Rattus norvegicus: one gene and its partners. The protein of the gene in region 1 interacts with the protein of each later gene in a pairwise test. Links are inferred from orthologs where the notes say so. Each region holds a gene or a part of one and is shown in the gene's direction. Other genes may lie near its edges. The genes, in order: Cdc5l, Zfp451, Gse1, Myt1l, Kansl1, Kalrn and Wwc1.

Region 1 (3,500 bases):
TTTACCATCTGCTATCCTTCAAACTAGTGGTGTCTCTGAGTTTACTAAAAAGAGAAGCAAACTTGTGCTGCCTGCCCCTCAGGTAACTGGAACAGTCTATCATCCTGTGGATTTACAAGCTTACATCAGACTCAGTAAATAGAGGTGGGCTGCTGTCTCAGGCCTGTGCTTAATGCTCAAGAAACCATAGTTTAATGGAGAGCCACGTGGAGAAAAGTCCATCGGTGAGCGCATGAGCACAGTTCTGTTATGTGCTCCCGCTTTGAGTGGTGGCAGTTCTTGGTAGTTCTTAATTGAATTTTTCTTTAATATTTCTAAGGATATTTCTTTTGGTAAAATTACAGAAGTACACTTTTAGATTTTCCTAGAGATCTTGAGGTTTAGTGGACTGTGTGATATTTAGTTGATTTTTCAATAGTATTATCTTCTCATTAATAGTTTTGTACAAGTACTTATGTTCTTGGTGCATTAAATCTGTCAATATATTGATTTAAAACATTTTGACTATGCCTAGTGCGTACACACCATTGGGATGATATGAAGATTAGTGTGGCTCCCATGTAAGGGTGGCATGCACATATATGATCCATTCTATATTTACAAAGGGGAAACAAAGCTGGGTGGGGAGGAGGTTGGAATATATTGGGAGGAACTTGGGGTGTTAAATATCGGTAAATATTGTATGGAATTCTGTAAGAATTAATAAAAATCCTAAAACAGTTTTAAATACAGAAATACAGCCATTGCAGCCAGTTGTTTATAATGTGAACTTTCCCCCCATAGTAAAAGGAAGACTTAAAATTTTATTTTGGAAATTTTAAAGCCAGGCGAAATTAAGTGGTACAGAGAGGCCTTTGTCTTTCTGCCCTTGACCCAGCTTTAGCAAATCATTCTCTGAAACATGGAATGTTTAAGCTGCACTGCTCCTGTTAAAGGGATTACAGGGCTGGTCTTGTCCTTTAGATTTCAGATGCTGAACTCCAGGAAGTTGTCAAGGTAGGCCAGGCCAGTGAAGTTGCACGGCAGACTGCGGAGGAGTCTGGGATCACAAACTCTGCTTCTAGCACTCTCCTGTCTGAGTACAATGTCACAAACAACAGCATTGCTCTGAGAACACCACGGACTCCAGCCTCCCAAGACAGGATTCTACAGGTATGCTGGCACTGTTGATTTGATCATCTTTGTGTCACTGTGGAGGACACCATATGGTTTGGTTGTGTATTGGTTGGGCCAGCAGTTTGATGGCCATGATCCCAGAGCATTTCTTATAGCACAGAAACCTAATTAGCAGGCTAAGTGGTCTGAACTAGCAGGCTCAGTGGTGACCGTCTGTTCATTCACAGCATGTTGGTGCCGGCCTGCCCCTCTGCCCCTCTGCCTTCATATTGTTCTTGTCAGGGAAGTACAGATTTTGCAGTTCTGTGCTTTTAAGTTTTGTATGTGTGGATGGTTTCTCTGCATACATATATGTGCACTATTTGTGTGCCGAATCTGCATAGTCAAAGGAGGGTGTTGGAGCTCTTGGAACTTGAATTACAGACAATTACATGTGCTGGGAGTTGTGCCTGGGTCTTTAAGAGCAGCCAGTGCTTTTGTCCTCTGAGCCATCTATCCATCCCTCCCTTCCATTTGTTGGTACTTGGTAGCCACTGTGCCTGAAAGATTGTGGACCTGCTGCTGTAGGTCCTCACGGCTGCCTCAGAACACTGGGCATGGAGCAGAGCAGTGCAAGGAAGGACACTGCATGTGCAAGGGCCTCCCACAAGTTGCTGCCTCCTAGTGGCACCCTTTTACTTTGATTTTGCTTTTGAGGAAAGAAAGGGGAGGGAGATTGTGGGAACATTTCAGTATAATTATATATTTTTCAGTATAATCAAGTTGACAGACTAGAATAGGAGACAGCTCCTAGAAGAGCCAGTATTCTGCTGGGTCATTTGGTTATATTGTTTTAGGGTGGTTTTTTTTTTTTTTTTTATTCTTTTTTTCGGAGCTGGGGACCGAACCCAGGGCCTTGCGCTTCCTAGGTAAGCGCTCTACCACTGAGCTAAATCCCCAGCCCCGTTTTAGGGTGGTTTTAAGGATAGTGTGTTTTCTACCTTTGTGTGTTTATTATCCTGGTACCTAAAGTGAGTCATGTTACCTTTGCTCTTCTAGATGTAGTGTTGTTTTCTCCTCTTATGTAGAAGTTGTAAGTCTGTCTCTTTCTAAGAGATACTTTGTATTTGGAATATCAAAGCATGCTCAGGACTTTTGATAGTATGAAATTCTAGACTCTTCATGAGAAGAGATACTCAGAATCATGGAGCAAGTCTTGCTCTAGTTGTCTACATTTTGCCTCTTAGTAGTTTAGACAATTTACTATACTTGTGACTGCTGTGGGTTGGGGATTTAAACAGGGCACAAAAGGTGACTTCCCCCTGCCTTAAGATGTCTAGTACCTCAGCTGAGAAGACTCAGCATTTGAGGGTGACTTGACAGGTAGTGGCTAGAACACATGGAGTATCATCCTGCATGTGTGGTAGTGATGCTGGATATAGGTTGGTGACTTAGCATGGTGCATGGCATGAGTTTACGTCTGCATCTGCATGTGGTTTATGCGTCTTCAGCATGGCAATTGAACTTCTCTCCGGTACCTCAGACTGATATAAGAGGTGTGAGTGTGGAGAGAAGCTACATCATGGTTCTAAGCTAACCTTGGACATCAAGCCATGCTACTCTTGCTGTATTCTCTGTCAAGGGGAAACACAAGCCCACCTACATTTAAAGGGAGTGGGAGGAGAAGAACACTGAAGACACAGACGAGTATGAGAGAGATGTGTATGTGCCTGACTTTGAAAGGTAAAGTCTGCCTTAGACATGGAGCTGGGAACTATGATAAGGCAAAGACAGTTACAGGAGGGTGAGAACTAAAAAGAGCCTGATCATTTCAGTCTTAGCCAAAAGGTTGAGAAGGCTGAGACATGACCAAGTCTTCAAAGAGTCTAGGTGAGACTTCTTAAAGCAGTCTGATCCTATGAGTTTTGTGGCATGCATTGGCAGCTTAGGTATGTTTCAACTTCCCAACAGAAGCAGCAGAGACTCAGAGTTGCTTATGAACATTAGATAAAGAATTAGTGATGAAGCTATTCTGAAACCTAGGTGTTGTGACATTTGCCCTCAGCTCATATCAGGAACTTTGATTCTTAGTACTTGATGGCGTGGATACTGGGAGAAGCTCTTGGATAATGGCAGTTTCATACTAAGCCCACAGCACTGTTTCCCCCTGCCCCTTAACACAGAGGCTCAGGTGGCTTCAAACTACTCTGTAACTGAAGGTACCCCTGACTGCTGACCGCCCTGTCTCTCCACCCTAGGTGCTCAGGGTTGCAGGCATGTTGCATTCACACCAGTGACGGTAGCGTATCTTGACATGGAAACTTTATTCAGAACTCCTGATGTGATGCGTTAGGTGGGCAAAGGACTGAAAGCGCCGGCCTGTTCCAGAGCAGTATTCACTCTCT
Region 2 (4,134 bases), about 20 Mb from region 1:
TCCCAGGAACTAGCTGACCGTAAAACACTGGAGACGTGAGGACTGTCCTTTGACTCTGGGAGATCCTCCTTGTGGGATCTTTGGCATTTCCCCCTGACGTCTTCTCCTTCCCTGGGTCTTGTGGTTTTTTCCCTTTAAATAGTCCCTCTCTTACCTGCTCGGGGTCGACACCCCTGTCTCCTGTGAGAGATATGTGTCGGTCCGGAATTCTGAAAATAAACCTTGCCTCTGCTTATTACATCAAGATTGGTCTCTCGTGTGTCTGGGGGCCTCGACTTCCCGATACTTGAGGGAGGGTCTCCCTGCGGAGATCTTTCACTCCTCCTCCTCCTCCTCCTCCTCCTCCTCCTCCTCCTCCTCCTCCTCCTCCTCCTCTTCTAGGATTACTACTACTACTACTACTACTACTACTACTACTACTACTACTATTACTAATACTCTTCTAGGATTTCGTGATGAAAGGTATTCAGACTTTAGCTGCTTTTACTTTCCTACCGAACCCTAAATTTTACACCTTTACTCCTTGCTCCTCTCTCTGGCCCTTTAGCGAGACTGAATACTTGGTAGCACTGGGAGGTAGAAGACATGAGAGAGATTGAATAGCTCGGGCGCTTCAGGTCGTGGACTTCACTGAAACCTACTCATCCATCCTTCTGGCCCGAAACAAAGACCACCAAGCTTTGCTTTCATAGCAGTATGATTACTAAAGGTCTGAAAGGGTTAACTGACATTACCAGATCTGTTTTCCACTGGATTCCTTTTGCACACACCTCTGTGTCCAAGTAATGAGCCTATCAACTCAACCTAGCCTGAAAAGAGCAAGGGAGAAACATGAAAGACCAGCAGCAGCCCTCTGGGACCTAATCAGTAATGCTTCTTTTAGTTTACAGGAACCATACGCAGTCTGATAACCTGTGGACAACAAGGAAAACACTTTGTGAGATTTCTGCAAGAATTAATGACCTCTCAGGAACGCCATATAAGCTCTTGCCCCTGCTGCCTTTCCAAGATGTAATTGGGATGAAAGCCTTCCATGTTTTCATCCGTCTCGCTTGTTGCCAGAGGAGCTCTTTCCCTGTCAATGTCTCTCAAGTTAAGGCGGCAGCAGAACGAGATTTCGCGTGGACTCAGAACTACCTCGAGACCCTCACTACCTCCTCCCGCCATCTTCCGGAGACGCAGGTTAGCGCTGAGCTCCAAGTCCTCGCCAGCTTTCCCCGCCAAGCGGTCCTCAGCCTCCAGGCCGGTGGAAACTACAACTCCCAGAATCCCTAGCGGGGCGGGAGGAAGGCGGGGAGCGTACAAAGCGGCGCTGGAAGCTAGCGGCAGTGAGGCCGCGCTTGGGGTCCGGCAGCTCTACGTCCCCGCGGCCCGAGGCGTCAGCTGCGTGGGCGCTCACGCAGGGCGGGTCGCGCGGTGCCGGGCGAGAGGGAAGTCGTGGCGGCGGCGTCGGCGTCGGGAACAGCAGCGGCGGCGGGAGCGTGGTGCTGACAGGCCGTGGGAGAAATGGGAGACCCAGGGCCGGAGGTGAGTGTGGCTGCCCGGGCCTTGGCTCCGCCGAGCCCGACCCCGAAGGGTTTGGTTTGTATTCTCAGCTTTGGGCCTCAGCCGGGCCGCGGCCTCGGGCGAGTGCGGGGCCTCCGGGCCTGGTGCACGTCTGTGTGTAGCCCTCAACAATGGCGGTCCGGCCGCCCCCAGCCCCTGGCCGCCCTAGCTGCAGCAGCCACAGCCCCGAGGGTGAGAAGGGATTGGAAGCAGGCTGGCCTTGTATTTGTAGCCTGTATCCCCGGTCCTAGAGGTTTAGAGCCTGCATCTCTGCACCTAGAGGAGGCGGGGAGGGAAATTGTGGCAGCTCGCTTGGGGAACTAGCTCCAAGACGCCTTTGCAAACCCGGTCTCCTCCATGCAGTTCCCAGAACCGGTTTTCCTGTGATCCTGCTGCTTCCCTTCAGGAGCTTTTGTCTTAACTCGTTCCTTTGGGAAGAATTTCTTCCTGCGATCCTGTGACTGAATAGATAAGCTTGTTTTGGCTTTTGTTTATAGATAATAGAATCTGTCCCACCAGCTGGGCCCGAGCCATCAGAGTCAACGGCGGATGAAAACGAAGATGACATTCAGTTTGTTAGTGTAAGTAGAGACTGACAATCGTGGTTTGCTGGAGTGAAAGTATGGTAAGCCTTTGTATGATTAAACCCCACCAGGCAGGCAGTTGTCACTCAACAGATAGGTCATGAATGTCGAAAGCTGCCCCACACTGGTGCAAGGGACTAATACCTGAAGGGATACCTAGATGCTTGCCTCAATGGGAAATTGAACAATTGCAGTAGCCACCTCGAAGTGGGTGTCATGTTAGGCATTTCTTGCACCTCCCAGGGCTTAATTTAACATCTGTACACAAAGGAAGACACACAAAAGCCTGGGAGGTAGGAATTAAGGGTTGTGTGGTGTATCTTCTAATAGCTGAGGACTTCCCTAACTTCTGAGGTCATCTTGTTACAGCACAGTACAATTGTTGGTCACAATGAGGAGGCCTGCATCACCTGCAGCACTGCTGTGTTTTTCTAAGTTTTATTCCTTTGGGGACAGAACTTCTCTAGCATTGAGTAGAAGCTGTAAGATCTGGGCCCACTCCAGACCTGTGGAATCAGAAACAGAGACTAGAGCCTAGGTATTGTTATTTTGAAATACAGTGGGGGACACTGGGATCTCCCAGTTGGTCCGGAAGTGATGGTGAGAGGGAAGAGGCAAGAGGGAGGAGAATCAGTTTTGGGTGATTTTTCACCTATGGTGGCTAAGTTTGTTCATCAGTTCTTCTTAGAGTAGTATGTGGCCAGAGAGCATCCCTGCTTTACATAGCTCTCCTGAAATGCTAAAGTTAGCTGAACTTGCCATTAAAGCTCTGTACTTACTGGTCAGCCCATATGTATTTGTTGCAGCCAACTGTAGACTAGTGCTTATTAAAGACCATCCTCGCCAACGTTGAGCCGTCAGTCATGTCAGTCTATTGGGTGTGGTGTGTTAGGGGGTTAAGAGGGAAGCCCTCCATAAAATCCTTTTCTTGGCACTTTTCCTATTGGACGCTGTCCTTTTCATTTTGATCTTTGGGGATCTGGAGTTAGGTTTGGGGATACATTGTGTCTTGTCCCTTTCTTCCCAATAGACGAGTTATTTTGAAGAAAGGAGAATGTTGGTGATTAGTACATGATATGTATGATAAAGGTTTATATGACTCCTTGAGACAAATATTTTGGATTGTTCATGAATCAGGTGTATTTGTAAACAATATTTACCTGATGCCTCATGCAAATGGCAGGAGTTAACCCTTAATTATAGAATGTGGCCTTTTGAGAAACTGATAAGAATACGGAAAGAGTAAGATTCAAAAAGTAAATTTTTTGGTTATATATCTTGTGAGGTGAAATACCATTATCATTTGTAACTGGTTAATTCAGGTGTCTGTTGATCCGAGTTTTAAAAGTAATATTTAAATTTAACTACAAAGGTAGGTCTGTCTTTGCATCAGGAATATGTAAAACGTGGCCCGTGTGTATAAGGCTATCACTTAAAGATAATGAGTGATAGCTTACTTTTATTTTATTTTATTTTTTTCAGAGCTGGGGACTGAACCCAGGGCCTTGCGCTTGCTAGGCAAGCGCTCTACCACTGAGCTAAATCCCCAACCCAGCTTACTTTTATTTTAAGGTACATTTAGAATCCTAGCAGTGGGGAGGTGATGGCAGAAGGATCCTGAAGTGGAAGGCAGTGTGACTTAGGAAGCTCTAGACCGCTGCGTTCTATATAGTGAAACCTTATGAAATAAACGATGCTGCTGTGCCACTGCAGCAGCCAGACCCCGAGACAGAAGCCTGAGCTCTGCAACAACAGTTCTGTCCCGTGGGGAGTTCCAGTCTACTAAAGATAAAAACCTGGCTTCTGCCTGAGTTGTCCAGATACAAGCTACATTATGATATGACTTCTTGGTTTACTTGGTCCTGGTTATCAGGTTGTAATTTATAACAAAAATATGTTGTATGTATGGCAGAATTGTACAAGAGCAAACTACCATTGGCCAAGAGGCTTTCTGTGTCTCACTAATGTAGGTAGCATGCTGAAAGGAGTAATACAGATACGCAGA
Region 3 (4,253 bases), on another chromosome or scaffold:
GCATCGGCGGCTTCTGCTGGCGCGGGCCCCGAGCGCTGCCCGCCGCCGGCGTCATCGAGAACAGATGGACGGGGGGTGCTGGCGCCCGCGCTCGCTCCCTGCGCTGTCCCGGCTGGCGCGGGAGGGAGGAAGGCGGGGGAGGCAGCGCGCGCCTGCCGAGCACTGCGCGGGCATGTCCCGGGGCAGGTTTGGGGCTGGCACCGCCGTGGAAAGTTGAAACCCGCAGCGGCGCTGAGGTGCTCCCCCCGGGGAGGTGCAGTGGCCTCCAGGCTCGAAAGTATGAAAGCGGAGGATCATTAGAGAGCAGTGTAGAGAGGGCGGGCGGGGGAGACCCCGGGACCTCGCGACGACCTTGCCATCTCTCTGGCTGCTCCTTGCGCGCTTGGTCCGGCCGAGGGACCCAGCCGGGCTTGTCCTATAACCCCGCGCCTCCCGGGTGGTGGGAAGGGGACGTCCTGGGGACCGGTCGCGTTGGGGGCGGGGACGCTGGGGCCCAGTCCCTCTCCGCGCCGCCTGTGGGTGCCGAAGAATTTCAGGACGCTCCCTGAGTCATCCCGGTGAAGTGCCTGGGTGAGGTAGGGTGGGTGGGGGCATCAAGAATGGGAAGGCGGTGCGCTGGGGCCGGTGGCGCGGTGGGTTGTGCCAGTTTCTGGAGGCGGCGGCAGCGGCCTCGCCTCTGACCGCAACCCCAGCTACTTAATGATGCCCCTGGCGCAGCGGCGCCTCCGTGGACTTAAGCTTCTCGAACATGGGCTCTTTAAAGAACTCGACCCCCCCCCCCCCCGTGTGGCCTTCACAAAAATTTCTTAAAGATGGAGACTTTGCAAAACTTTGGGTCAGAGGCTCGTGGCCCCAGCTCTTAACATTAAATCCTTTAAAGTTGCGGTAATAGATCAGGCATCTTGGAGAGCGAGGGAGGCCAGCGGCCTATATTGTGTAGTCCCCTCCACTCAGCACAAGGAAAGTCCTCCTGAGCGCTGGGTTTATCCCTCCCCTCTCTTAGTGGGTGGCCAGGTGCCAGGCACTGTTCCAGGCGCTTGGGGAGGCGGCTTTGAGGCTCAGATATGGCAGGCGGAGAGGAGTGTTGTAAGCCACTCCTCTCTACTCTTGGGAGATGAGTGGCCCGCGAAGCCTCGAAGAGGTCCCCCTCGACTGTCCAGCCCGGGTCGCCAGGAGCGCGGGGGCGGCACCTACCCGGCGGGCTGTGACCGCGCTGGGTGCTCCGGGCGGTCCGTCGGTGCGCGCGCGTGCGCTTGCGGCTGAAACCCGACACCTCCCGCCGGCTGAGGTCAGGGCGCCGGGAGCGAGCCGGGGCCGGGGAGTGGGCGGCGTTGCGCTTGGGTGTGTCCTCAGCGGCGACAGCAGCAGGTGTTTCTTGGCCCAGGCCCCGGAAGCTCCACCTCCCCGAGCGGCCGAGCCGCCGCCGCACAGCCCCGGGTGAGATAAGCAGTTCAGACAAACCCGGGCGACGGTGGCTCCGGCATGTGTCAGGCGCGGCGGAGCAGCGGGGCCCTGGCATGAAAGGTGAGCGCGCGGGTAGGGGGGTGACGGGGGTTCCCTCGCTCTTCCCCTACCCAAGTTTGTGGGCTCGGGAGGGGCGCCAACGGCCGGTGCCAGGTCCCGCGGGTGCGAGGTACGAGAAGCGCGGGGCGCGCGGCCGACCTGAAGCCACACTCGCGGCTGCGCGCGCGCGCTGGGCGCAGCGAGCTCTGCGACCGCGGAAGTGCGCGGGGAAGTGTGCGGGGGCGGCTCCGGGGCTCGGGGTTGAAGCAAAACTTTGGATGGGGCGGGGGTGCCCAGGCAGGTGGTTGGATCGGTGTGGGGGACGCCTTGCCTGGGATGGCAGTTCAGGGGGCCTCCGCGACCCCGCCCGGCCCTTCCCGCTCCGCCTGGATGCGCCTCCCCGCCCCCCGCGGCCGCGCTGACGGCGAGTGGCCCGCCCGAGTGGAGCCGATTCAATTATATTGCAGCACCAGAGACACCTCGTCGCCCGCCGCCTCTCCGGCAGGCTAATTAAATTCCCTTCTTGGAGGCGGAGCGGGAGCTGGGCTGCCCTCCCCGCTGCCCGCCTCTCCGAGCGCAGGGAGGTGGAGGGGGCCGCTTAGGACTGCGAGGAGCAGGCTAGGGGCCGCAGATCTGGGTATCGGAGCCCGGAGCGAGCGAGGGGCGCCCCCGCGCACCTGCCACTCGTGGTGGGGGTGCCAGCTCGAGTTGGGTCGGTTTGGTGCTTGCAAACCAGCCTTTGTCTCCATGCGTTTAAAGCACACTAAACCCTTGCTAGACCCCTGCAGTGTCTTATCTGTCGCGGTTGGGGCCCACACAGGTTGGGGTTTGAAAACAAAAAGCGGGACCACCAAATGGAGGGGGGGCAAAATACAAGATCCTTTTGTAAAGGGGGCCGGAACAAAAGGCGCAGCCTCACTCTAGGAGGGAGCATCGGGCCTAAGCCGATTTCCAGCAAAGGGGACAAAGGCAGGAGGTCTTGGCTGGGCGCTTGGCAGTGTCTCAGTCTCTTGCCTGAGACTGTTTTACCCCCTCTTCCCTAGGAAGACAGGGCCCCCCCTGGCGAGCAGCCTTCCCTGGGCGTCCGTGTTACTTAAGCTTGGCTACTTAAGTGTTGCTCAGCCTGTGTTTACAGCCGCCCCCACCCGCAGGCGGGGAACCTGAGGCGCAGGCTGTGTCTGACTCAGCCGCTCAGTCGCCCCGCCACAGGTGAGGGGGGCCGGGGCACAGGCTCCGACTGGCAGCGTGTGTCATCTGCTGTGCTGGGTGTCACGCCCCACCGGGTGGACCGGAACAGGGTTGCTGGCAGGCTCACCCGATCGGGTTCTGCTGTGCAGAAGCAGCTTGCTCAACACTTCTCACAGGCACCGGGTCACGCCTGACCACCTCCTGGGGGGTGCCTTGATGGCTTGGTACAAGGTTGGCTTTTGTCGCCTGGTCTGGCAGCAGGAGCGGAGGAGGCTGGGGGAGGGGGGAGGCGCTGGTGAGCAGCCAGCCAGAGACCCGGGGTCAGCCCCGCCTTCGGAAAGGAGGTGGGAGGCCTGTCCTAGCTTTGGGCTCTGTTCTGCCTGCCTTAGGGCAGGTTCTGAACCAGGAAGGCTAGGAGGCCAGATCAGGCCCTGACCTGTTGGGGGCAGTTATTAGGATCCTGACCGGTTAGGGTTGAAAGGGGGTGTATATATATAGTTCCTTTAAACTTAACATTTTAAAATTACTAGGAGCCAAGCCTTGTCAGGCCCCCTAACCTTGGGGATGACCTGGGGCAATTCTGTTTTTAATGGGGTCGGAATGTCAGGAAGGTTCCGAAAAAGCTTGACCCTTTGGAAGCCTCTGTTGCTCTTGGCAGAGCTGGCAGGCAGGCAGGCCTCTGGCTGTGAGTAACTTCCCTGTCTCTCTGGAGGAAGTTGGAAGCTGCAGATCTCAAAGGGCTGTGTGGTTTGCAGAAAGGCAGCCACCTCAGGACTCTGCACCTCTAGCCAGAGGAAGGGGGAAGAAGAGGTCTGCGCCTCTTTGTGGTGGACCAGGGGCCTGCACCTCCTCCAGGCCCTCCATCAGCCCCAGCCCGCTGAGTCCCCAGCTGGCCTTGACCCTTCAGGCAGGTGTGGTCTATTTCCCTGCCGTGGAGGAGGTCTAGCCTTGGCTCCCTGCTGGTTCCCCCCCTCCCCTTCCTAGAGACTCACTGTGTAATAATAGCCAGTTGCCACTTTTCCCCCTTGCCCCCAGGAACCCGCAGGGGCTTGTGGAGTGAGCCAGCAAGGCCGGTTTTTCCTGGCCCCATCTGCAGCCTTGGAATGCCCAGCCTGGGTTACTCCAATGCCTGGTGGGGTTGGATAGGAGCCTTCTGGTGGGGGGAGCACGTTAATTACCCGTGTTGTGGCAACAGCCACAATCCCTCTATGAGGCCTAGCCCACGTCTTTCCCTCTCCCTCCCTCTCCTGGGATCTCGGGTCGAGAGAGCATGTTTAACCTGCAGAGAACCTCGTCTGAGGTGACATTTCAGCCTGGTGGCTGTGCGGCAGACCTGCCGACTCACTTTAATTTCTGCCCCCATGGAGTCTCAGATCTCCTCGGCCTGGCCAAGTGCAGCCCGCCAGTACTGTGCTGGCTTCACTTCCCACGCTGGCCTTTCTCCCCCCGCCCCCAGGCACACAGGCCACAGCCTGGGAGGTGACGCTTCTGAGTGTTCCTGTCAATGAGAATTTATCGAGCGCCTCCTGAACCCAGCCTCGCGTTCGCTCGCTGCTGGGAGG
Region 4 (3,989 bases), on another chromosome or scaffold:
AATGCAAACACGGAGGGATCTGTGACCACACGTGCCTGGGGCTCTCCATGGCAGTTGAGGAGCTGCATGAGTGAGACAGACTGCTGAGAAGGACTTGCTGATGGCCACCAACTCATCTGCAGAGAGGTACCTCTTCCCTTTCCTTTAAAGGTGACATGTGGTTGCTTATTTGCCTGGCTGCCGCAGCTTCCAACTCCTCTGAGTGATTTCGGAGAGTCTCTTAAGTAGTTCCCATAGCCATTTCTCCACCTGCCTGGCCACCCTCCACTCTTTTTTTGGTTACACACTATGACAGGATGGCATGATTTGGGGTACAGAGGGCCAAGGATGGACTCTCTTGGCTACAGCTGCCCCTCAGATGAACATGCCTATGATTGCTTGTCTGTAGTCTCCCAGAGTTGTTCTCCCCAGGAGTCTGGATGTCAAAGCTAGCTTCCAGGAGGGGGAGGTACCAAGCAGCCTTTATGACCGAGTGTGCTCTACCAAGAGGCTGGTGAGGGAAGGGGACAGCTACTTCCACAGAAAAGCATTTGTTGCTTGCCCTAAGAGACTATTTATAGAATCAGCACCTGGGGGTGGGGGTGGGGACAAAACAAAACAAAAAACCCCAAACAAACAAAAAAACCCCAAATGGCACAGAAAGTCATATAGCTATTTTCTTTTTGTGGTTTTGGCATCTTACTGGGTCTGTTCTTTTTTAAAATAAACTTTTTGTGTTTTCTCTTCTTCAAATGCTGGTATCATAAGCCGGTAGTGCTAAAAGTTACTCAGAGAATAGTTCTGTCTCTTGTTTTAAAGGAAAATGATAAAAGGAGCTTGTGCCCGGATGGGATACTGTAGTGTGGCTGATAAGCCAGGGAGATGGTGGGAACCCTTGAGTTAACTCTCTGGTGCCCGTTCTCCAGTCTTAAGAACTGCCAGGGGAGGCCCGGATGCCTTTTTGATTTGTTTTGATGTGTAGCTGTAGTTCCAGTGAAAACACCAAGGTTCTGCTGACTTTGGTGAGGTTTCTTGGACCACTATATGCATTTACCATAACGTCAACGATAGGGGAGATTTTCTGAGATGCATCACCTAGCGGATAGCAGCCAACAGTAAGCCTCCGTATTTACAGTTCTCATCTATTACATTAAATACAGCACTGCACATCACACACTCGGCTCTAGAGATTTAGAGGCCTGTGGGTACAGTGTAGGAAGCACACAGCACACATCCCAATCTTGCCTGACTGCTGAAAGCCTAGTAAACAGGAAGGCTAGAAATTACTGGTTTTAACTCACAGCTGTTAGGTTGAGAAACGTCTAGATCAGTGATGAAGTTAGGGTTTGAGGAAATGGCTGCGTTTTGTGTTGCTTAAAGGACAGCAGCCCGCCCGAGCAGGGTAAGTCAGCAGGATGCTCCCGGTGTGCCTCTGCGGCAGCGATGTGGTCTCTAAGGAAACCTGTGCCTGATGCTCGCAGCCTGGGCAGTGCTGGCGGCCCAGGGCCGTCTGTCTGCTGCCTGCTGATGGAGGCTGCGCCGCATCCACCAGGCAGGGCTCTGCACGCATGCCCGTCTTCCCCGGCGTTTAGTGGTGTCAACTTATTAATTTCCATCTTCGACTTCAGGCCTGTTAGTTTCCTGTCTGAAAGCATTATTACTTTTGTCCATGTGGCAAAATAATTAGCATACAGATGAGAAGTGGCCCCGTGTCTGCGCGCCGATAGAGAGAAGATGTGCGGTTCGAAGTTGATTGGATGAATGGAGAACAAATGGTGGGCGTTCAAAAGCATTAGAAGAGTTTTGTAGTCGCGGAGCAGGCTGGAGAATTTTCTGGGTGAGTCCCTGAGATGGAAGGCAGGGGTGGCTGCCGTGGGAACAATTGCTTGTCAGAGACTGGCTTAGCTGAAGGTGCGCAGAGGGACTGCAGGAGCAGAAAATCCATTCTTCAGGTTTCTCTTTGAAATCCCCTCCAGGTAAATGTGTCCTGTTGTTTCTGGAGCTGTGGCTGCGCTTCCCAAAGTGGAGCAAAGTTCAACTCTTAAGGGCAATAACAAAAGAATAGTCTTTTGCTGGTGCTCGGGTGGCCTCTTCATCCATCTTCCATGCATAAGTGTGAAGTGAAAATTAACTGTTTAGAGATTAGTGTTTTCAGAAATTTACAGCAGCCATTATTCAACGGGTTTCATTAATATTTTCTGGGACAGTGTATGGAGACCAGCAGAATTAGCAAATGTTGTTTTGATGAAAGCTAGACATAATTAGTTTTGACTAGTATATATTTTTCCTAGCTGGAAGGAGATTTTAGCTCATTTAACCAGTTACTTATTGGGGACAGTGGGAACTGAACTGATGCTTTTTGTAGGTCTGTAGGATGCACAGAGGGCAAATGTTAAATGAGTACAACCTTTGATACTGAGTTCTTTTGAGAAAAAAAATGATATTTTTTTTCCAAATCAGTTTTCTGAGTTCATGAGTAATAACGAGGCTTCCTGGAGCCTGGAGTTTCTATTGTCAACAGTGGCATAGATTTCTTATATAATTCTGGGACTAGCTTGCTGGAGCATGGGTGTTTCAAAATTCAGTTCAAGATGCTTCTGGCGAGAGTCACTGATGAAGAGTCCTTTCCTGTCTTAAGGATTCCTACCCTCCTTAGAGGGAAAGGTGTGCATTTTAACTGACCTAATTATTTAGTTTGTTTTTAAAGTTAAACTTCAATAGACAGCACAGTCTCTTAACTGGATCGCTGTAGTTTCTCGGATGTTTTAGGGCATGCCATGCTTTCATTTTGAATTTTTAAAAGCTTTTTCAAAGTGTTGCTAGACTTTAGAAATGAGAGCGAGTATGTGACAGAAATACAACTTTGGCGGGGGGGGGGGGGGCTGTGTGTGCTGAGTGGGTGTGATTGGTTCTGTTTCAGAAAATATGCCTTTATAAAATTAAAAGCAACGAATACCTTCAGTGAACCCAAAGCCTCAGGTGTGACACCCTGGGAGCAGGCTTGTCCCTGGTATGTAGAACTTGCCTGATTATTTTCCTGCTTAAATTGCAAGTTTCTGGATATTCACATTAAGATGTATTTTTTTTGCATAATAGGGAAAATCTCAATTATCCTATAAGTGCATACAAATGTTGCTTCTATCACATTCAAAAAATTAGCCAGGAAGCCAGAATGTGGGGAGAGAAAAACAACTTGGGTTTTAAATGTCTAGTCCAAAGTAACGAATACCCAAGAGTTCTCATTTTTTTTTTCCTGAACTCCTACCTAGAGGGAGGCTGTGCCATACTCCTCTCCCATGCCAGTTCCCTTGCAGAGTTGGAGTTGGGTCCATCTTTGTGAGTAAAATAACTCTCTTGTTTTCTGATGGGCTATAACTTTCTTGGAGCAGACATTAGCCTTTCCTTTTTACCCTCTGCTTGGCCATTTAGGAGCAGGGAAGCCCTTGAATGTCACTTATTCAAGAGGCTTCCTTTGTGCCTGCTTCCTCTCACAGGTGAAGGCCATTCCATTTTTTTTTTTAAAAGGGCCACAATTATGTCACCGGAGTTTCCACTTGAGGGAGTTACTTTTGCCGCTTGCAGTCCTGTCAGCTTTCAAGGTTCCTTGCAGTTGATAGGGGCTTGATCCAGAGACAATGAGCTGTCTCTGAGCTGGAAATATGTTCATAGGAACCAGCCTGAAAATGTGATTTCTAAGGGGACTTTTTGTTTTATTTTCTTTTATTTTTAACTTTCCCTCTGAGGTTGGATATCAACTTTAGAAGAGATTACAGCCTTCCATAGCTAAACCATGTAATTCATCCGTGAGATTTCAAATGTCCGGTGCCCTGTCTTAGCTGCTCTGTGGGCAGTGGTCGCACTGGGGGCTCTGTATCCCAGGAGCTCTGCCCTGTACCACATGTTATGCCTATGAACAGAAAAAAAATGTCAATAGTTTTCTTCCAAAATGTCACTTGAGCTTATTTCCTTTACAATTCTGTGCTGTGGTATGTTCTCATACACTAAAGAGA
Region 5 (4,223 bases), on another chromosome or scaffold:
GGCAGAACACTCAGACACATAAAAATACACATCTTGTAGAACAAACTATATTTTAGTACAAGCAGCGTTCTTGGGGCTTCTCTGTAGCCCAGATGATCCTCTGCAGTGAATCTGGTCTGTGTCCTCAGGTTTCCTAAATGCATTTGATACGATGAAAAAAATTCTGGGAGAATCCTTATGTGTCAATAAGACTGAAAAAGTTAAGATTTCTGGCTTATGGGTATTTTCTTTTTAGTTCTTACTGTCACATGTCTACTATGGCCTAAAAACAGTTCTCTAAGTGTAGCCTCAAGACCTAAGGATCTCTCATAGTTTTAGTATTCTTGCTCCTCTGCCTTCGTGCTGTTTTGCCATTATTTTAGCTGGTTTTTTGTTTTGTTTTGTTTTGTTTTCCGATTTGAGAAAGTTGATCGTTCAGTATGTTGACTCCTCATTTGTGGATTGTTTAGTCTCCCCAGTGTTTTGGAATTCCTCAGAACACACTTATTACTGGTATTTAAAACAAACTAAAAGGTAAGACTCCCCAGTACATGTGAATGCTGTCCTGGTTTTCTTAGATAACCATTTTGTTTCAAAATATTTGGATTCAAAATATTTTTTCTTTTCTTTCTTTTTTTTTTTTTTTTGAAATAGTCTCTTTGTAGCCCAGGCTGGCTTTTGCACTTAATAATTTTCTGCATGAGTTTCTTGTGCTATAATCACAAGCATATGGATCATGCTATGATAATTAATATTATTTTAGCTGTAATGTTTGTGGATGGCACAAAAATCAGTATCTACAAAGGATGTGCCTGAGAGATTAAGTATTCCTCTTCCTTGGTCTGCTGAGAACTCCATGTCATCCAGGAGGCAACCACTGTTAACACCTCTGAGAGTGATTTTTGACTCAGCTTTCTCTCAATTCCTTCCTGGTCTGTGAGATGTATGGCCTTTCCAGGCCCTCAGGACCTCAAATCTGGTTGACTTTAAAAACAAACATTTATATATGTGTATATTTTATGTACATATACAAAATCTCTCCCTATGGCCTTCCGGGCCGGGTTCTCATCACATCGCTTCCTGGATGAAGAACCTGGAAGGGTGAGGTGAGGGGCAGGGGTTGGGGGTGACAGAGAAGGGGACCTGAGGGACTGAGGCCAGGGGTTGAGTGGTGGACTGCTGTGAAGCACTGTAGGGATTCCTATTCTTATTTCTCCCACCAGGCCGCCCTCCAGCTCCGTCCAGCTCAAGCCTCTCCTTTCCTAGGGCCGAGACAGAGACAGAGAGATACAGAGACAGAGACGCCAAGGCACCAGCATCTCTCCCCCCCTCCCCATCCCGCCCCATAGCTCTGACGGACGTCCACTCTTAGCCAATGGTGCTCGCGAATTGCCCTCGGCGGGCCAATGGGAGACAGAGGAGGGCGGAAGCTTGCCCGCCCCCCACTCTAGGCTTGGTTGAGCCGTGCAGGTAGGTCTGGGGCCGGGGGAGCTGCCGTTGGCACTGCTGCCCCGGGGGGTGGGGGCGCGGCGGGTCGGGGTGATGGTGGTGCAGGGTGGCGTGTCTGGGCCGGAGGACGCCGTGGGGGGCGCCGTCGCGGGGCGGCGGGAGGTTGAGGGGTCGCGGGAGCCGGCGCCGCGGAGGGCCCTGAAGGCGGCCGGTCTGAGGACGCGGGGACGCGTGTGTGGGGCGCGGGGACCCTCGGCCGGCGCCCACCCTCAAGGCCTCGGCCTCCGGCCGTGGACCGCGGCGTGCCGGGCGACGAGTGGCCACAGGGCCCGGGAGGGGGGCACCGAGCACAGCCGGGGGCGCCAGGCCGAGCGAGGTGGGACGGACCGTGGCAGGACGGGAAGCGGCATCCCGCGGGCCGCCCCCTCCTGAGGCGAGTCGGTCAACAGCCACGGGCCCCGGGCCGCGAGCCCCAGCCACGGCCGCCCCCCTCCTAACAATGGGGACCGGGCCGGAGGAGTCGTGGGCCGCGGGGGATGGGAGAGGCTCCCGGACGAGGGTCCGAGGCGGGGGAGGGGCGCGGACTCGAGCTCGCTGGGATCTCGGCCCCGCGGTCCTGTAGAGCTGGGGTCCTGTAGAGCTGGGGTCGCGTCGCGGGGTAGTGTGTGGGGGTGCCCAGGCTCGCCTGAGAGTCGGGTCAAGAGTCAAACTCCCGTCCCCACCCCCCAAAATCCAATGAGCGCTAGGCAAAGTGATGCCAAGTGTCCCTAACCGAAGTGACAAACGTGGAGACAGCAAACCCACTCCAGAGCTTTATTTTTAAAACGGGGACATCGACTCTGATTTTAAGAAATTATTTTTAAAGAGGTGAGTGTGTTATTTTTGTGTTCCTACTCGGGCAAGCCTCCATTTTAAGTGAAGCAGTAACTGGTTAAGCTGGAATTTTCATTCAGGCCTAGGACATAGGCTCCTAGAAGGAGTCATTTAGTCCATTCTTCTGAGTCCCTGCAAACTTAACACCCTCCATCTTCAAAATTAATTCCTCTGGTCTGCTTTTAAAAATCTCTGGAAAAGAATGGTCTTTTCTTTTTTGCTTGTACTTCGGTGAGGAATAGATGCTACTTACTTTTTTAATGTAGTTTCAGCTCTGAAACAATTTTAAGAAAAGTTAAAAACTGGAATTGTCAGAAGTTTTTTTTTTTTTGTTTGTTTACCAAATAAAATAGTTGTACATCTTTTTAGATAGTTAATAAATTATTTTCAGTAGTGTTTATGAAATACTCTGGTAGTAATAACTTTTCCTTTAGGATTTTAGTTTTCTGAACCTTTGATAAGTAATTTTCAGTTACTTAAGATTTACGTTGTTCTTTGATATAAAATATATTTCTACACACACACACAGAGATAAACATATGCCCTTTACAAAGGGAATTTTATATTGTATCTTTTTCCTTCTTGGGGGGTTTTGAGACCATCTCAATAAGTAGCTCTCACCTGGCCCAGAACTCACTGTGTCTACCAGGCTGGTGTTGAACTGGTAGATAACAGCCTGCTTCAGTCTCCTCTGAGTGCTAGGACTAAAGTGCACCACGCCCAGCACTTGTACACTTTTTAAGCAACTAGTATTGAATGCCTTTCCCAGATAGATTAAGCTATTTACATATGCTATTTTTTCCATCTAAGTGAAAAAAATTCTTCCTTTTCAGATCTCCTTAATTCCTTATCCGTGGTAACTGGGGAATTACTTAGTCTCTTCCTGCTTATTTCTGAGTTGTCTGAACTATTCCTGACACTATGTATGCTATTTGGATGCCTCTTAAGGTAAGATATATTTGCTTTTCGTTATTTTTATTTTGTTATTTCATATATGTATTTTAGAATCAAGAATACTTGTTCCCGTGTGTTTTGAGTCAGGGTTTCAGAGTCCAGGCTGCTCTGGAACTTTGTAGTTTGCTGAGCATGGCCTTAACTTCATGTATTTGCTGCCTCTACGTTCCAAATGCTAGGATTATAGGTGTTTGCTACTAGGTCTAGATCTACCTAGAATGTTCTTGAACCTGTGGCTCTTCAGGATACCCATCCTTAGAACCATTAGGTTCTTAGGATTTGTTATTGCTGTTCTTGATTGCTGCTGTTCAGACATTAGTGAAGTTCTTAAATTAACTCTATAAGGATGGGTTCCAGTTTTTACTTATTATAGCTTACATCTTGTGAAATTATGTTCCACCTGGTAGATGTGTTGCCAATTCAGACCTTGAGGTCCATTTTCAAACTGGTACTTCAGAGTCATATGAACTTGGGCGTGTCCCACTTTTGCAAATCAGTAGCTGATTCATGTGTTACAAAAGATGTGTCATTAACCATTTGATTGCTCTGACATTTCACGCAGTATATGTGTTTATTCTTCAAATGCCCTGCTGCTCCTCAGGCCAATGTGTGAGTCCTTACACTTTTTTTTCAACAGGTGGCCATTGTGCCCTTTCCTTTTCCAGGGTGTGCAAGATACGCCTCATTTGGGCAATGTGGACATGTGACCATTTGATAAAAAGATAGTTCTTTAAGTCTCTTGTGGCTCTTTCTGTTCAGAGATGGCAAAAGAACTCTCTAGTAGGACTGAGCTGTGAAAAGTGAGGAGATGAGAGAAAGGACCAAGGCAAGATCAACAGTGAAGTCTGTCAGCCTCTCCTTCCCTGATAGTTAGATACTGGTGTAGCTGGGATTCCAGCATAGTGCAGTGGGAGAGCCCTAGTGCAGTCTGAATAACCTAAACATTTGGACTTTTGGGAAATCTTTAG
Region 6 (4,265 bases), on another chromosome or scaffold:
GATGTATAGACTTCACTTGTCTTCTACTGCCTTAGGGTGTCACCCTTTTCCAAAGTGTGACTATTTCTTAAGGGCCTAGTATTAATTTCTTATTAAGACACTGAAGAAGGGATCAGTTTATTATACCTCTGTGCATGGGACCTAGCTCAGAGGAAGCAGACCCAGATAGAGGAACCTTATACGGCTGAGAAACAGCTCTGTCAGTTGGTTGGGCTGTTGGGGTGGTGCCCTGAAGGTGGAGTTTGGTGCAGTGGGGAGCTTCTTGTGGTTTGCTGGAGAAGAAGGAGTCCTCAGAGGAGGACAGGGAAGGGTGAGGGTAGATTTCTTCTACTTGACAGAATGGTTTTAAGCTGGTGCTGTAAGAGGTTTTGTGATCTCTTTCTAGATTAGGAGAGAGAGAGAGATCTCCCTGAGGTCAGTGGTAAACAACGGGAAAGCTACATAAATGGCAGGGTCAGTGCAGGCCAATCAGCCCTGTCTTGAGGTGACATTTAAAGCCATCGTACAGATCGGCAGTGGACCTGGGGCAGAAGGAATGTTTTCTGAAGCTCAAAGGGAGCCAAGGATCAATTGTGTGTCTAAGAGCCATTTTGTCTACCCCTTCCTGTGTGGTCCTCTGCTAGATCTCTCTCTACTTTGGAGAGCCTTCCAGGAGAGAGAACTCAGGGTTCCTCTGTCCTGGACTCCTAGGGTGTGTGGGCAGGCAGGGTACTTTGTGGAGTTTAACCAAAATACTGAAATGAAGCCAGTGCTGAAAGTAAGAGAGGAGAGCTGTGACAGAGCAGACAGATCACCATCAAAGAATCACCCAGGGGAGCTGAGTAAAGATTCAGGCCTCTGGGAGTGCGGCATCTGCATGAACTGCCACCCCTCCAAGGTGAATCTGCTGCCCATTAAACTTTGAGAACTCTGAGATGAGAATGGTGACATTAGCTGGAGAGGCCTCTTGGGAGAGGTGGACTTAGATTTCAGAGTCTGGGTGATAAGTCTTTCAGATATTGTCCTCATGTGAGGACCCAAGGAGTGTGTTCACCTGGGGACACCCGGCTCTCACAGGAGAGGCTGGCAAGCGTCCACACCATTCCCTAGATGGTGTTTCCGAGATGTCCTGACTTCCACTTACCGCTTGGGCAGTATTTGCTGAGGGGACAGAAGTGCTGTGGAAGGTGACTGAGGATGGTGTCTGCCAGAGGGTTTGGTTCATGTTGGAGCCAAAGCACAACTTGCAGGGCAAAATGGTTGGCTGGCTGAGCCTACTTCCTGGTGTGGGGTAGGAGGAGAACACGGTGTCTGTTGAGCAGTCTTCATTCTGGTTCACAGATACCAGCAGCTGTGCCACCTCACGTGTGGCCTTTACTTGCCGGTTAGCTGCACGCATCTGAGGCATGTGGATTGTGCCACTGAGGGAGCAGAGGTCCCGGTTGTCCTGGGAGGTGAGTGGGGAACTCTCTGGGACCTGATTGGTTCTCTCCTCCCTCACTTCTTCTTGCCTTCTGCTCCATCCACTTATGCTGGCTTTATCCGGTTGAGAACACAGTGTTTCTTCTTTTGGGTGGGTGAAAAGATGGAGAGAGAACAGTGCCAAGAAAGGAAGAAGGAACGCCGAAGGGAAGGGAACACATCGTGGTTGTGGCAGTGAGTATCTGCAGAGGAACCAGGCAGGCAGCAGCCCTCTGCAGTGGTTGGGTGCTATTGGCCTGCAGTCACTGATTTCAGCGGAGGGGGAAAGAGCCACACAGACAGGAATGGCTGCCCCCGCTTTGGCTATCATGAAAGAGCCACCGTCCTATCATTGTTTAAGACAAAACAATAACAACAACAACACCCTACCTACCTAATAAGGTCCTGTCCTGGCAACGTTCTGTCCTTTCTAATTGCACCACAGCTGAATGGCAAGCCTAGCAGTCTCTTAGAACATTTTATTCAACTTCTACCATGGCTGTTTTAAAGGAAGGCTTACAAGGCTCTGTGGGAATAGCAGAAATGAGCGGCGGTGGGCTGGGAAGCACCAAGACGCCCTGCTTAAAGGACTGAAGCCAACTGAGAGTAAAATTCCAGGCTGAATAGCTTCCTCCTGGGTTTGACCCAATGGGTGATGCTGTGTTCCAGGGCTCACTGTGTGTGGCGAGGTGCGTGCACCCATGTTGTTCTTAATTCTTTCTTCTGTAGAGAATGACACCAAGTAAGAGAGGAGCTCCAGTTGGCCTCCTCCTTCAGGCCCACTATCAGCACCAATAGAGAGTTATAGTTTATATATGTGCTTATAAGGGCATGAGGGCTGCCTGTCTGTTCCCCAGGTGATGCTCCTCCCACAGTCCCTCTCTGTCCAGGTCTTCTGTTGCGGTAGGAGTCTCACATTTCAAGTTTCATTTAAGAGGCTTTAGGAAAAAATGACTTTGGCATTCTTATTTGGAAATGCGCTCTCTGGCCAACTGTAAGCCACTGACCAATGGGACATATCAAAGGCTTGTTTGTCAGTCATCATATATTCTGTGCCTGTGGCATGCTGGCACTGCCCCTGCTTCTTGAGCACTGCTGTTAGCATAGCCCCACTGTGAAGGTCTTCCACCTCTCCAGGAAAGGTGCTACATTCTCTAGGGAATGTCAAGGTCCAGAAAACGTGATGAGGGGGAGCCAGCTCACACCTATGTACCATTTGAAACTTGTTCAACTTCTTGAAAGATGACTTTGGTTCTCTTTAGACAGGGAAGGTAATTCTTCTCCAACAGAGCTCTCGGGGTGGTTAGGGCCCAAAGGAGCTGACAGATGCGAAAGTACTTTGTGAGCTAAGAAGTACTGGCCACATGTGAGTGAGCCATAGAGTCTTGTTATTCACAAAAGGGAGGACTATGGACCATTTCTCTCCAGAGAGGAGAGGACTTTGCATTTTTGTGTTAATGACTCACGAGATTCTTGTCCATTTAAGGCAGTAACAAAATTGCACTAACAGAGCCTGAGAGGTATCTCCTTGGGTGGTGAGGACTCCGCTGTGTCCCACAGCTGCCCTTTAAGAGGTAAGAAGGATACTGGGCAGGGCAAGGGGTGGAGATTGTGGCTCCACCTACTTTCTCCCTCTTCCTGCTAGTTCCTGGACGTGCCTCCTGCCTAGTCTGAGTCCTTTAGAAACATGCAAACTATTTCTTTTGGCTCTTTTAAAGGAAGGCTTATGGGGCTCTGTGGGAATAGCAGAAATGAGTGGGGGTGGGCTGGAGAGCACCAAGACGCCCTACTTAAAGGATTGAAGCCAACCGAGAGTAAAATTCCAGGCTGAACAGCTTCCTCTTGGGTTTGACCCAATGGGTGATGAGTCCCAGAAATGGCAGATGCTGGAGGAGAGCCCCTTTGACTCCAGATGCCTGATGGAGACCAGGAGGCTGGGAGTAGAAGCTGCCATAGGTAAGCCGAAAAACAGCTGTGGGGAATGTGCACTTGGCTGTTGAATGGAGGTGCTCTACACCTGGAGTCCCCTCTGCTTTCCTTTCTGTGATCAGGATCCCCTGTCACCCGAGGGACAGCCTTCTCATGTAAGTGGCCAGCCTACTGACCAAGCAGCCTCAAGGGAGGCAAGAATAGAGCACTCTGCTCCTGCTCTTGAAACGTCTGCAAGCCTGAGTCAGTGTCCAGAGGCTGACGTGCTACAGTCAAGCGATAGTCAACGCTTCTCCTGCCTTCCACGTGGAAAGGTGTGGGTTACCTAGAATCCCTTGCTTGTTCTTTCAGTCAGTCGACACTCACTTGCATTAAAGATTGAAGTAAAAGTCACTTGAATGCTTCTGAGATAAGGCACTACATTAGGCACCTTGAAGATTAAGGAGCAGATCTGAACTCCATGTCGTTTATGTTTCGGTAAGGTAGACAAATTGTATACAGAAGAGAAAGTGGATTGAAGATGACGTATAAAGGAAGGAAGATTGGGGACGGCCTGGACTCTGTGGCATTTGAGTCAGACATTGGAAGATTTAGGGTTTGACCCTAAGAAGGGGTACGGAGAGAAGGGGCCCTGACAGGAGGTATTGGATCAGGGGCATAGGATTAGAAGGTCAGAACTATAGCGAACCATTTTGTAGGGGCAGGGGAGAAGGGCAAAGAGAACCTTTTGTCTGCTTCACTTACCTGTGACACCAGGAGCTTCCCTCCTTCGTGCTGAGCCTCATAGTTCCTCTGTGAATAAAATGCTGGTCTTTCCAGTCATAGAGGAGGAAGCTGAGGCAGAAGGCCAAGAGGTGTTAAGTAAGAACCAGGATTTGAACTTGAAAGTAGCATTG
Region 7 (3,500 bases), on another chromosome or scaffold:
GGCTGCCATGAACCAACAAAAGGTTCTAGAATCCAGTAGCTGTTCAGTTCATGAGCCTGGATGTCTCAGCTGGTCGTCAGTATACCCCAGAATCCCAAATAGCAGGCTCTCATTCCAGTGAAGGAATAGGCTTGCCAGCAAGGACAAAAACAAGCGCGCGTGCGCGCACACACACACACACACACACACACACACACACACACACACACACACACACAGAGTGTCCTTCTATAGGCAGCCATCAGAAGGAGTGGCCCGTATTATAGGTAAATCTTCCTACCTCAAAAGATCTGGATTAAAGGTTTATTTTAGGGGTTGGGGATTTAGCTCAGTGGTAGAGTGCTTGCCTAGCAAGCACAAGGCCCTGGGTTCGGTCTCCAGCTCCGAAAAAAAGAAAAGAAAAAAAAAGGTTTATTTTATTTTCCCACCCCAAAGATTGGGATTAGCAGTCGATCTTCCCAGTTTAAATTAATTAAAAGAAAAAGAAATCCCTCACAAACGTGCCCAGCCATTTGGATTTCAGTTCATTCCAGAGGTGGCCAAGTGGATAACCAAGAATAGCTATCACAGATGTGAAATCACAGGCCTTCTTCCCTTGTCTCAGGATGAGAGGGACCTTACCTGAGTGTTCAGAGGTACTGCAGTTCACTGGGACCATCAGGAGAGCAGGGCGGAGTTGCATGGCTTCTGAACATGACTTTCCCTCTCTCATCTTCCCCTCTACCCACTACAGCTGCAAGTGTGGCCCCAGGGTGTGGCCTCAAAGTGGCCTGTGTGTCCGCTGCAGTGTCTGATGAGTCAGTGGCCGGGGACAGCGGCGTGTATGAGGCTTCCATGCAGAGGTGGGTTCGCAGACGTCGTTCTGTTCTGGGAGGGGGCGGGTCTCTGGGCTCTGGATGTTCAAGCCCATGTTCCACAGAATGCGGTAGGGCTCCAGTGACCTCCAGGGCCATGCCCAACATAAGGACAGCAAGATGCAGGTGGTGTCCAAGGCTCCTCCAGCAAATGTGGGTTCTGGGCGACAACTGCCAAGTGTAACCATGGAACTGGATGCTACAGAAAGGGAGTCTATTGTAGAGTGGGCTCCCAAGCACAAGGGAAAGCGAGGGTCCAGAGAAACACTGGGCACACACCAAGAACCCTGATTCCAGAAAAAGCCTTTGTTGGCGGGCAGGAAGCTAACCCCTTCCTCCGGTGTCTTTCAGACTAGGTACTTCTGAGGCTGCTGCATTCGACAGCGACGAGTCGGAAGCTGTGGGTGTCACTCAGGTTCAGATTGCCCTGAAGTAAGTGATGGGGGGACAAGGACAGAGGGAGGGCTTACATAGGACCTCTTCTCCACTGACCATATTGTACCTTCCTGGCTATCCAGGGAAGAAGAGAACCCACTATCCTTGGTGGGCTCTTGAATAGAGGGATACTGTCCCCTTCACCACAGATGAGGAAGGCCAAGTTTCTTGTAGCTGGTATTGAGCGGGACAGAGGCAGATGACATAGGCGTCCTGTTTACATAGCATCTACTTTTTAAGGTAGTCTTTCCATCCCCATCTAGGTTCCAGTGTTCCTACCCCAGGCTGACCCCGGGGACCATAGCCCAGCTCTGACTGATACATGCATTGCTGTCACTGCTGGCTTCTCTCCCTGGGGGTGGTTTCTATGTTTTCTTATGTAAACATTTTAATGTCAGAAATACTCACACGAACTTCTGGTACCTCTGTAAAAATTGAGCCGAGTGGGCCAGTTGGGTGACTTCCCCAGTCAAAGCATTTACCGTGAGAGCCTGAGATCGATCTCCAGAACCCACAGGGGGTCAGGGACGGGGAGAACTGACTTCCAAAAGTTGTCCCCTGACCTCCAAATGTGTCCCATGGTGTGTGCACACATGCACTCATATCGACTCCCTCTAACCATAATAATTAATAAAGTAACATTTGAGAAACTTAAAAAACTAAAAAGGAGCTTGAAAGACCGACTTGGTGGTTAAGAGTCATCAGTAAAGCTGCTCTTACAGAGGGCTCAGGTTTGATTCCCAACATATACTGGTGGATCACAACAGCCTAAAACTATACACACACATGCACGCACGCACATGCACACACTTAAAAATATATGTCTCTAAAGTAAAATAATCCAAGCATGGTAGTGCATATCTTTAATCCCTGCACTCAGGAGGCAGAGTGCAGACGAACCTCTTGAGTTTGAGGCCAGCCTGGTCTACATAAGCAAGTTCCAGGCTGGCCAAGGCTACATAACCAGACTTCGTCTCAGTAATAAACAAAGAAGTAAATAAATAAGAATTCTGATGACTGCCAGTTCTGGACCTGTGTCTATCTGGTCATGGCCACAAAGCTGAGGGTGAGCGCTGTCTAGCTTACCACACTGGACAGAGAAGCCAGCAGCCGTGACCTATAATTGCCAAGAAAGAAAATGTGGGGCATGGTGACACACACCCTTAGTCCTGGCACTGAGAATGCAAGGTAGAAGGATCTCTGGGAGTTCAAGGCCAGCCTGGTCTATACAGGCTAGCCAAGGATACACAGTGAGCCTCTGTTCTTTAAAAAAAAGAAAGAAACAAGGGAGGGAGGGAGGGAGGGAGGGAGGGAGGGAGGGAGGGAGGGAGGGAGGGAATGATATCCTAACCGGTGTTCTACATGTCCCTTCATTTCAGATATGATGAGAAGAGTAAGCAGTTTGCAATATTAGTCATCCAGCTGAGTAACCTCTCTGCCCTGTTACTACAGCAAGATCAGAAAGTGTGAGTATTGAGTATTGCGTGTCACCCTGTCACCTGCTGTGCTTCTCCCTGGGAAAGCTCTTTAGCTCCATCTTGCTCCAACTCCAAACACCACTTCGGCTATTTCCTGCCGGTGAGCATGCTGGGGCTGCCCATGCACACACAGGCCCAATGGCAAGCTCACCAGCTTTGGAAAGTGCCACTGTAGGTAGCTCTCCCACTTCCTGGTACAGCCTGGATGCCCACCACACACTGCTCTAGGAATGCTGGGCGTGCCGATCCCCCGTGGAAACCTCCTGGACTGTGACCTCATGAGAACAGTCAGGTCCCTGTTGTCCTCTGTAGGCAGAAATGACTCTCTGGTTGTCTAGCCAACATTGGAAGTGTGTGACTGGTGTTACCTGGAGGCCACTAGGTTGGCAAGCGCCAACACTGTCTGCCTGCACCCCTGCTGTAGACTGGGCTTATGTTATATTGCAATCATTCACCCTTACATCCACCATAAGGCCTGGAGAACTACGGTAGTTGCGACCTGGGGTAGGGTGGGGGAGGGGGTCAGAGAAGACTGACAAAGCCCAAGGAAGACCAGACTGGCTTAGCTTATCTCTATTGTCTGCCCCCTCAAACAATGCTAGAACCAGAAACGCCCGCCGGGTTCTCTTAGGTCCTTGTGCATGGCCATCTGTGCCTAGGAGCACAAGGTCTACCCAGACAAAGACAAACACATTTGTAGTCCCGTTAGAATTGTTGGTAAAGTGTTTGCTAT

Evidence for each region.
Region 2: the proteins of Cdc5l (region 1) and Zfp451 interact in a two-hybrid assay, tested with the Homo sapiens proteins (2 studies listed by BioGRID and IntAct). The link is inferred for Rattus norvegicus from reciprocal best matches to the Homo sapiens genes CDC5L and ZNF451.
Region 3: the proteins of Cdc5l (region 1) and Gse1 interact in a two-hybrid assay, tested with the Homo sapiens proteins (2 studies listed by BioGRID and IntAct). The link is inferred for Rattus norvegicus from reciprocal best matches to the Homo sapiens genes CDC5L and GSE1.
Region 4: the proteins of Cdc5l (region 1) and Myt1l interact in a two-hybrid assay, tested with the Homo sapiens proteins (2 studies listed by BioGRID and IntAct). The link is inferred for Rattus norvegicus from reciprocal best matches to the Homo sapiens genes CDC5L and MYT1L.
Region 5: the proteins of Cdc5l (region 1) and Kansl1 interact in binary tests that used the Homo sapiens proteins (3 or more experiments, as listed by UniProt). The link is inferred for Rattus norvegicus from reciprocal best matches to the Homo sapiens genes CDC5L and KANSL1.
Region 6: the proteins of Cdc5l (region 1) and Kalrn interact in a two-hybrid assay, tested with the Homo sapiens proteins (2 studies listed by BioGRID and IntAct). The link is inferred for Rattus norvegicus from reciprocal best matches to the Homo sapiens genes CDC5L and KALRN.
Region 7: the proteins of Cdc5l (region 1) and Wwc1 interact in a two-hybrid assay, tested with the Homo sapiens proteins (2 studies listed by BioGRID and IntAct). The link is inferred for Rattus norvegicus from reciprocal best matches to the Homo sapiens genes CDC5L and WWC1.

The regions. Positions count from the first base shown.
Region 1 is NC_086027.1:23,075,897-23,079,396, forward strand, and holds part of Cdc5l (cell division cycle 5-like protein), read left to right. Parts: coding exon 1-82; intron 83-963; coding exon 964-1,152; intron 1,153-3,500.
Region 2 is NC_086027.1:43,533,807-43,537,940, reverse strand, and holds the start of Zfp451 (E3 SUMO-protein ligase ZNF451), read left to right. Parts: upstream 1-1,334; 5' UTR 1,335-1,506; coding exon 1,507-1,527; intron 1,528-2,042; coding exon 2,043-2,126; intron 2,127-2,177; exon of another isoform or gene 2,178-2,667; intron 2,668-4,134. UniProt on the Homo sapiens protein: E3 SUMO-protein ligase; has a preference for SUMO2 and SUMO3 and facilitates UBE2I/UBC9-mediated sumoylation of target proteins. Plays a role in protein SUMO2 modification in response to stress caused by DNA damage and by proteasome inhibitors (in vitro).
Region 3 is NC_086037.1:65,493,207-65,497,459, forward strand, and holds the start of Gse1 (Gse1 coiled-coil protein), read left to right. Parts: upstream 1-1,453; 5' UTR 1,454-1,517; coding exon 1,518-1,524; intron 1,525-4,253.
Region 4 is NC_086024.1:51,897,893-51,901,881, forward strand, and holds the start of Myt1l (myelin transcription factor 1-like protein), read left to right. Parts: upstream 1-1,189; 5' UTR 1,190-1,816; exon of another isoform or gene 1,817-1,955; intron 1,956-2,529; exon of another isoform or gene 2,530-2,643; intron 2,644-3,989. UniProt on the Homo sapiens protein: Transcription factor that plays a key role in neuronal differentiation by specifically repressing expression of non-neuronal genes during neuron differentiation.
Region 5 is NC_086028.1:89,865,821-89,870,043, reverse strand, and holds the start of Kansl1 (KAT8 regulatory NSL complex subunit 1), read left to right. Parts: upstream 1-1,423; 5' UTR 1,424-1,449; intron 1,450-2,624; exon of another isoform or gene 2,625-3,134; 5' UTR 3,135-3,249; intron 3,250-4,223. UniProt on the Homo sapiens protein: Non-catalytic component of the NSL histone acetyltransferase complex, a multiprotein complex that mediates histone H4 acetylation at 'Lys-5'- and 'Lys-8' (H4K5ac and H4K8ac) at transcription start sites and promotes transcription initiation.
Region 6 is NC_086029.1:79,755,284-79,759,548, forward strand, and holds the start of Kalrn (kalirin), read left to right. Parts: upstream 1-1,465; 5' UTR 1,466-4,265. UniProt on the Homo sapiens protein: Promotes the exchange of GDP by GTP. Activates specific Rho GTPase family members, thereby inducing various signaling mechanisms that regulate neuronal shape, growth, and plasticity, through their effects on the actin cytoskeleton.
Region 7 is NC_086028.1:20,832,938-20,836,437, reverse strand, and holds part of Wwc1 (protein KIBRA), read left to right. Parts: intron 1-733; coding exon 734-842; intron 843-1,205; coding exon 1,206-1,286; intron 1,287-2,668; coding exon 2,669-2,755; intron 2,756-3,500. UniProt on the Homo sapiens protein: Regulator of the Hippo signaling pathway, also known as the Salvador-Warts-Hippo (SWH) pathway.